2 linked regions of the Ovis aries genome follow. The protein of the gene in region 1 interacts with the protein of each later gene in a pairwise test. Links are inferred from orthologs where the notes say so. Each region holds a gene or a part of one and is shown in the gene's direction. Other genes may lie near its edges.

What was found.
Region 2: the proteins of HTT (region 1) and ING5 interact in binary tests that used the Homo sapiens proteins (3 or more experiments, as listed by UniProt). The link is inferred for Ovis aries from reciprocal best matches to the Homo sapiens genes HTT and ING5.

Annotation. Positions count from the first base shown.
Region 1 is NC_056059.1:116,335,112-116,338,702, reverse strand, and holds part of HTT (huntingtin), read left to right. Parts: intron 1-1,263; coding exon 1,264-1,364; intron 1,365-2,188; coding exon 2,189-2,343; intron 2,344-2,616; coding exon 2,617-2,756; intron 2,757-3,245; coding exon 3,246-3,328; intron 3,329-3,591.
Region 2 is NC_056054.1:252,221-256,271, reverse strand, and holds the start of ING5 (inhibitor of growth protein 5), read left to right. Parts: upstream 1-1,236; 5' UTR 1,237-1,265; coding exon 1,266-1,302; intron 1,303-1,555; exon of another isoform or gene 1,556-2,124; intron 2,125-3,411; coding exon 3,412-3,483; intron 3,484-4,051. UniProt on the Homo sapiens protein: Component of the HBO1 complex, which specifically mediates acetylation of histone H3 at 'Lys-14' (H3K14ac) and, to a lower extent, acetylation of histone H4. Component of the MOZ/MORF complex which has a histone H3 acetyltransferase activity.

The DNA of each region.
Region 1 (3,591 bases):
CCTCTTCGTCCACGTGTCGTGGCTGGGGGTAGGCCTGGTGCGTGAGCGCTGTCAGTGGCAGAGGCTGGGAGGCTGCGCCCAGCGTGGCGACTCCACCGCGGCCCCAGCCCCACGTCGGGCCCCTCCGCCCAGCGCCCGTCCTCTCTCAGCCTCCATGGGGTCTGTGCTGCGATGACCCTGGGGCGTGGGCCGGCAGACACCGCGCTGCCACCTCTCCTCCCTGAGTCGAGCGGTGAGCGAAGCCTGAGCAGCAGTCTGAGGCCGCTGCTTTCGGAACTTCCCCGCCCTCTCCCCAGCGGCCCCCCGCCTCCCGCAGCCCGCCCGACCCCCGTGCCCCTGTGTCTCGGGTACCTTCCCGTCTGCGTAGTCAGTCCCCGCGTGCCTGGAGGCAGCCTGCAGGCTTCTCCGGACGCCTGCTTCGCTGTTGCCCATTGTCCTTGTTGCTCCCCTTTCCTCCCACGGGAGTCAGCGCGTGTCTGTCTGGACTTCCCGTCTCAGCTTGTGTGTCTGTCTGATCCATACCTGAATCAGCCGCTCTGTCTGTCCATGTGCAGGTCACCAGAGAGTTCCTGACATTTGAGGCTTTGGTTTTCTGTCCTCGGCACCCCATTCTTGCCCCTTGTAGTGTTGATTCAAGTGGCATGGCCTCCTCCCTCCTAGGGTCCCGGCCCTTGGGATAACTGCTCACCCAGGACCACCTTGGGAGCGCCTTGGGACAGTGGTGCTTGAGAATGGCCCCCGAGACGCCCTCCTCACGGACTGGACTTCCCCCATAGATTACACTCTGTCTCGACCTCCCGTCCTTCTTGAGGGGCCAGGGCAGCCATTGCTCTGAGCTTCGATGGCGCTGCCCTGACGTAGAGTTGACATGGCAGCCCGTGCATCCGTTCGGGTGTGGTTCCACGGTGGAGGCTGGACACACCCACACGGGCTGGGGGTGTGACTCTACGTAAGGCTGTCCCAGCCCCTGCTGAGCAGGGCAGAGGGCGCTCTGACCCCATCTGAGCGTCACCCGCTCAGACATCCACACAGCAGGGTCCAGAGGGTGCTTTGCACCAGGCCACCTGGGCTGAACTCAGCCGTGTCGGTCTACTCACCACTGGGCTCGGCCGGCAGTGAGGCTGCACCGCAGTGCCGTCCTGAGGCTCTGGGCAGTGGCTGTGTGGGCACCTGGCCAGCGAGAGCCACGGTGCCCACTGCCCCGTCTCGCAGAGAAGGCAGAGCAGTGGGGACCCTCTGTCTAAAGCGACACTCGCGTTCCAGGGTGGACCAGCCGCACCCAGTTTGAGGAGACATGGGCCACCCTCCTCGGCGTCCTGGTGACTCAGCCACTCGTGATGGAGCAGGAGGAGAGCCCCCAGGAAGTAAGGCTGCGCGCAGGGTCCAGGGCAGCACGCCCTTCCACCTGTCTCACCCGGGTGGTAAACGGGTGGCCAGTCACATCCTGGCCGGTGTTCCAAGGTCTGGGTGCTCTAGGATCATGGCCCAAAGGCGTTAACCACAGCGTGCTGCCTGCAGGCCGCAGGACTGTGTCCTTCCTTAAATGTATCTCACGTTCTGCTGCTCAGCATCCAGGTATGGTGTGTAGCAACGTTTCATCAAAAAGGAAAGGCGTGTCTTAGAGGCCACACGTGATAACTAGTGTTGATTTCTCTTGACTTGTTTTCCAAAAATTTTATGGGGCCTGGAGTGTTAGTGCATATTGTGGTACTTTAAGAAGACGTGCTCTGATACAGGAAAGCCTGAAACATTAAAAGCTGTCAGGTTCGCGTTCTTCAGATAGAAGGTGTGGTGTGAAGCGGCAGAAGTGGCGGTTCAGAGAGTGTGTGTGTCAGGCGTCACCAGGAGTGACGTTCGCCGGAGAGGAGCCAGCGGCTCGTCCTGTGCAGGGCCCCTAAAATCGGTGAGGAGATTGAGGACAGTTTCTTAAGAAGTAATTCATATTTGGAGCTTTGTGCTTGGAGGAAAGCTGGCTTGGAAAAGCAACCACTTGCCCATCAGATTTATCTCAAATCACAGATGTGTGTGGATTCTGGTGAATTTAGGCAGATGCTCCAGGACCCCCGCCGGGAAGGCACATCTGTCTGTCCGCTCGGGGCCCGTGCCTGTGAGGCCGCCTGGCTAGGCAGCCCCAGGGGAGGTAGTGTGCTGCGGTATGCGCCTTGGTAACCTGGGGCTCTCCTTCCAGGAGGATGTGGAGAGGACGCAGATCCACGTCCTGGCCGTGCAGGCCATCACCTCCTTGGTGCTGAGCGCGATGACCGTGCCCGTGGCCGGCAACCCGGCCGTGAGCTGCCTGGAGCAGCAGCCCCGGAACAAGCCCCTGAAGGCCCTCGACACCAGGTGGGCCCGGGAAGCACGTGCCCAGGGCACGGCCGCGTGGGAGCAGGGAGGCGCTGGGGCGCCCTCTCCTTTGCTGCCAGGGTGGTTTGGTGGCTGAGGCTGACGACCTGGCCTCTGGTGTCGGGGGCCGGCTCCAGTGGAGCTAAGGGGGCGCCTGTGCAGGGCCCGAGGGCCTTGGCTGCACCGTTTCCTGGCAGCGAAGCTGGGAGTCAGGGGGTTCACTTTGAAGATTTTGGAGGAGCTGGGTGCCGGTAACCTTTGCTCTGAACTTAGGTTTGGAAGGAAGCTGAGTGTCATCAGAGGGATTGTCGAGCAGGAGATCCAGGCAATGGTTTCCAGGAGAGAAAACGCCGCCACTCACCACCTGTACCAGGCGTGGGACCCCGTCCCGTCTCTAGCCCCAGCCACCACAGGTTCCAGGGGCTCGTGGGGGGGTGGGTTGCGTGGGGGTGTCAGCCGCTCCTTGTGCCCGTGAGCACGGCTGGACTGTCCCAGTGCCAGGGTGGGGGCTCGGTGGGCACCTTGTCAGCGACCACTAACACTCCAGCTTTTGCAGCTCAGCCCACAGCCAGTTCCCGTTCAGTCTGGTTTGTTATGGAGAAAAAGTGATAGTTCTCATCACCCTGCTGGTCCTGCAGCTTCATATGCTGTGCGGGGACGGACTCCCCACTGAGGGGGCACTCAGGGCTGTGCGGGACGGACTCCCCACTGAGGGGCACTCAGGGCTGTGCGGGGACAGACTCCCCACTGAGGGGGCACTCAGGGCTGTGCGGGGACGGACTCCCCACTGAGGGGGCACTCAGGGCTGTGCGGGGACGGACTCCCCACTGAGGGGGCACTCAGAGCTGTGCGGGGACGGACTCCCCACTCTGCGGGGACACTCATGCATCCTTGCCCTGCAGGTGCTCTCATCAGCCATGACAAGCTGCTGCTGCAGCTCAACCCTGAGCGTGAGCTGGGGGACATGAGCTACAAGCTTGGCCAGGTCAGTGCCCGGCAGGCGGCCAGCGGGGCCGGTTCCTCCCCACCCTCCCTCCAGAGCTAGCTGACTGTCCCCTGCGTGGGTAGGGGGCTTTGTTACATCATTCAGAAACACGGGCCCACACGTGTTGTCTGGTGAGAGGACCGGTTTAGAACAGAGATCCCACCTTCTGGTTCCATTTTGTGTCAAGACCTCACCCTGACGTCCTTCAGCAGCCAAGTTTCCTTTTTCTTTCTCAACGTTCCCTTTCTTAGTGGCGCTTCCCC
Region 2 (4,051 bases), on another chromosome or scaffold:
CAGTCAGATGAATTAAAAAAAACGCTGTCCGGCCAGGAAAAGGAATGGAGGAGACTTGGAATGCACCTACTAGGTGGAAGAAGCTAATCTGAAGGGGCTCACATTCTTTGACTTCAACCACATGGCATTCTGAGGAAGGCAGAACTGGAGGCAGGGGCGGGGTTAGCGTTCGCCAGGGGCTCCCCCGGAGGGAGAGGGCAGAAGCAGCTGATTCTTAGGGCAGAGCAACTATTACGCTTGATACTGCAATGGGTGCCGCTTGACATAAATGCACAGCACAGAATGAACCCTAATGTGAACGTGACTTCCTTTTGTCGTTTAGTCGCTAAGTTGCGTCCGACTCCTTTGTGACCCTACGTAGTGGAACCCGCCAGCCTCCTCTGGTCCATGGGTCATCCCATGGCAAGAATACTGGAGTGAGTTGCCGTTTCCTTCTGCAGGGGATCTTCTCGGCCCAGGGATCGAAGCGGGTCTTCTGCGTTGGCAGGTGGGTTCTTTACCAGAGCTAGCAGGGAAACCTTAATAATAATGTATCAATACTGTTTCATCTATTGTAATAAATGTGCACCAGCCATGGAAAATGTTCATAAGGAAAACTGTGTATGCGTGGAAGGGGTATATAAGAACTCTTGTATTTTTTTTGTCAATTTTTCTGAGAGCCAAAAACTGCTCTAAAAATAAATTCTATTAATAAGAACACTTATCTACTCGAAACAATAAAACAGGGGTGGTGTGCAACAGTGCACTGGAGTGTGCGTGATTCTCACACCAAGCATTAAATGGAGCGGGGGTGGTTGCACAGACATTGGTATCACTTGGATCGAAGGGTGAGCAAGACGATCGCAGGCCCGCGCCTCCGGGAGTGGGGGAGCTGTACATCTCCGTACAGCCTGAGTTTGTATAACGCAGGTAAAGCTGGCAAAACAGTGAACGCGTTCCCCCTTTTACATGTCTGCCTGGGGTTTAGCACGCCGGCCCCCGCCCCGGAAGTCGCCCCCCCCCAGGCGCTAGGCGCGCTCCCGGGCCCCCCGGCCGAGCACCAGGCCCCCCGGCCGAGCACCAGGCCCGCCCGCCCGCCAGGGCCGCCCAGCCCGCCCAGCCCCCGCGCGAGGTCGCGCGCGGCCCGGCCGGAAGCCGAGGCGGGGGCCCCGCCCGGCCGGCGCCCAATCAGCGCGCGCGGCTCATTAATAGTGACTAGCCGGCCCCGCCCCCGGCCCTCGCGGCGCCGCCGCCCGCGCAGACCCGGAGCGCGGCCGCGGACGAAGATGGCGACCGCCATGTACTTGGAGCACTACCTGGACAGTAAGCGCCCCGCGCGCCGCCCCAGCCCGCCGCCCGCGCCCCGCCGCCCCTGCCGCGCTTCCCCGAGCGCCGGGCTCCGCGCGCGGGCCCCGGGGCACGCGGGGGCGGCGGGGTGGCCGGGCGGCGGCGGGGGCGGCGGGGGCGCGCGGGGCGGGCGGGGCGGCGAGGGAGGGGCGCGGGGCGGGCGGCGCGGGCCCCGCCGGCACGGCCGCGCCAATTCCAGGTGCGTCACGGCGGGGCGGGGCCGGCGCCAAGGGGCGGGGCCCGCGCGGCCGGCGCCGCCTTCCAGGCGACCACGCCCACCTTCCTGCAGGCCCCGCCCTCCCCGCCCTTGAACACGGCCTCCTGGGCGGGGCCCCGCCCCTTATCGGCTGGGCTCCGCTCTCTTCCCTGTCGGACCCGCCCCCTCTGGTCAGGCCCCGCCCCTCCGAGCCCCGCCCCGCCTTGGGGGCGGGACTGGCCCACCAAGATGGTTGAGTCCCAATCGCCTGGGACTCTGGGTCGGGTTTGGGGGGCCCAGGGCCTCGGAGTTCGGTGTTCTGTGCCTGCTTGTGATGTGACTTAGCTTGTGCCTCAGTTCCAGGCCTCATTTCATGCATTTGCGAGGCATGCAGGCGCAGAGGGTCACTGAGGGTACCGGTCCGAGCCCAGGGGCTGGGGGCGCTACTTACTGGCCGGGGTTAGGGTGTTCAAGGCAGGGGTCATCGTCGTGGCCAGATGTCCCGACGCATTGCACATGTTGCCCTCTCTGCAGAACTCCTGAGCGGGTGGCTTTTTTCCTCCACATTTCACAGAGCAGGTGATGCCGCCTGCAGAAGCCAGGTAGCTTGTTAAGGTCTCTTGCTGGAGAGCGGCGATCCCGCGTGGGAGTCCTTCGTCCTGACTCCTGTCTGGCCTCCGCTGGGGCATGGCCTGGGGAGGGTGGGGCTGGTGGGTGTTGGGCCCCGTGGCTCTAGAGCACTGTGCTGTACTGGGGATCACAGCCCCCAGACCCTCACCTGAGGGTGTTGAGAGTAGGGATTGAACCTCTGCTCTGGGGAAGACTGTGGTGATCCGCAGGGGATCACCTAGTCCTGGCCCAGCCTGAGCACAGGTCCTGGGTGGGAGAGCACCCAGGTGCCTGTAGGGGGGGCACTGTGGCTTGTCCTCTTTCCTGGTGCTTGCCTGGTGGGGCCCAGGAGGAGAGTCCGAGGAATATGATCCTGGCCTTTGCGGGCACCCGTGTGAAGGCTTGGGGACAGAAGCCCCTGCTCACTCCCTAAGCACCTGCTGTGCACCAGGAATTTTCCTGGGACATGCTCTCAGATGGGACACAGGAGTTTAAAGGTCATGAAGGAGTCTAGCATGTCTCAGAGTGCAGGGGTACTGCTGCAGTAGGAACCCCGGGGGGGCGGGGTCCCACAGAGAGGCTCTGAGGGGTCCGCTCGGTGTCTGCTGAGCCAGGGCGCCATGGGGCTTAAGCACCAGCTTTGTTTGATGAGAGGGGCCCATCCTGGCTGCAGGCAGGGGCCGGGCTTGGCCCAGACCAGGAGCCTGGCAGTGGGGACAGGAGACCAGTGTGGTGCAGGGTCCTCCCTGTGCTGTCCTTCCTGGTCTGTTTAATTTTAAATAAACTCTCATAAAATGGGAAACTCAGTCCGTCTGTGGTACTGGCCCCATTTCAGGTGCTCAAGTAGCCCAGAACACGTGGCCAGTGCCTCTGTGTTGGGCAGCTCCATCTTTGCATCACGTTCCCCCACACAGCCCCGGTTGGTACTTCCCCATGCCCCAAGTTCAGAGTAGAGTTGGAGGAGGACCCTGGGGTTTGGGCTGGTTCGCTGTGACGGGGTGTCTGCAAGGGAGGAGTGGCCTGGGGTCTGGGGTGGGAGAGGCGCATGGGCACCCTCTGTCCTCTGTTTGAATCTAACTTCTTGAGTTTCTGACAAGTGCTCAAACACGTCAGCTTGTACCAGGGTGTGTTCAGTGTTTAGAGCACGTCGCTGGGAAAAGATACCCTGATTCTTCTTGTTTCCAAACCCTAGCAAACAGAAGCTAGAGTGGGCTTACCCCTTGTGGCCTTGAGCTGTGAGGCTGGAAAGGTGAGCTTTTGTCCTGCTGTGTCTGTTTCAGGTATCGAGAACCTTCCCTGTGAGCTTCAGAGGAACTTCCAGCTGATGCGAGAGCTGGACCAGAGGACAGAAGGTGGGTGCAGGCCTTTCAGTGCAGCCAGGGTGGGGAGAGCAGCTCCCCAAGGCAGGACCCTGGGGGTGGTGCTGCGCTTCCAGGTACCTGGGGCAGAGGTGCTGCGGGCATGGGGTGACGTCTCAGAGTGCCAAGTCTGTGCAATCAAACTGAGTGCCTGGTGCTCCTGCGTTTCGTCTTTATGACCCTCATCCCCTCCTTGCAGTTAAAGTATTTGTTAGCTTCTCTTTAAAAGATTTTCCCTTTTCACACTCTGTGTGTAGTTTACACCCTGCTTTTGGGTCTTTTGGTGTTAACTCCTTATTTCTGAGCACCTCGTTTTTGCTGCATTTCTTTATTTCCTTTTGGTTTTAGACTTTAGCTGTTCAGTTATTTCAGAAAGTGAAGACTGACGTCTTTGGTTGCGCCCAGCCAGCTCATGTGCACACAGCTCCTTCCCGCCATCTCCTGGGTGTTGTGGGCCAGAGTTCACACTGTCCTGATGTCGTGTCCGTCAGGGCCCCTGTGTCGGTAGCTGGCCGCCTGCTGTGCGCATGTGGCCTGCTTGGCCTGACTTCCTCTCGGCGTC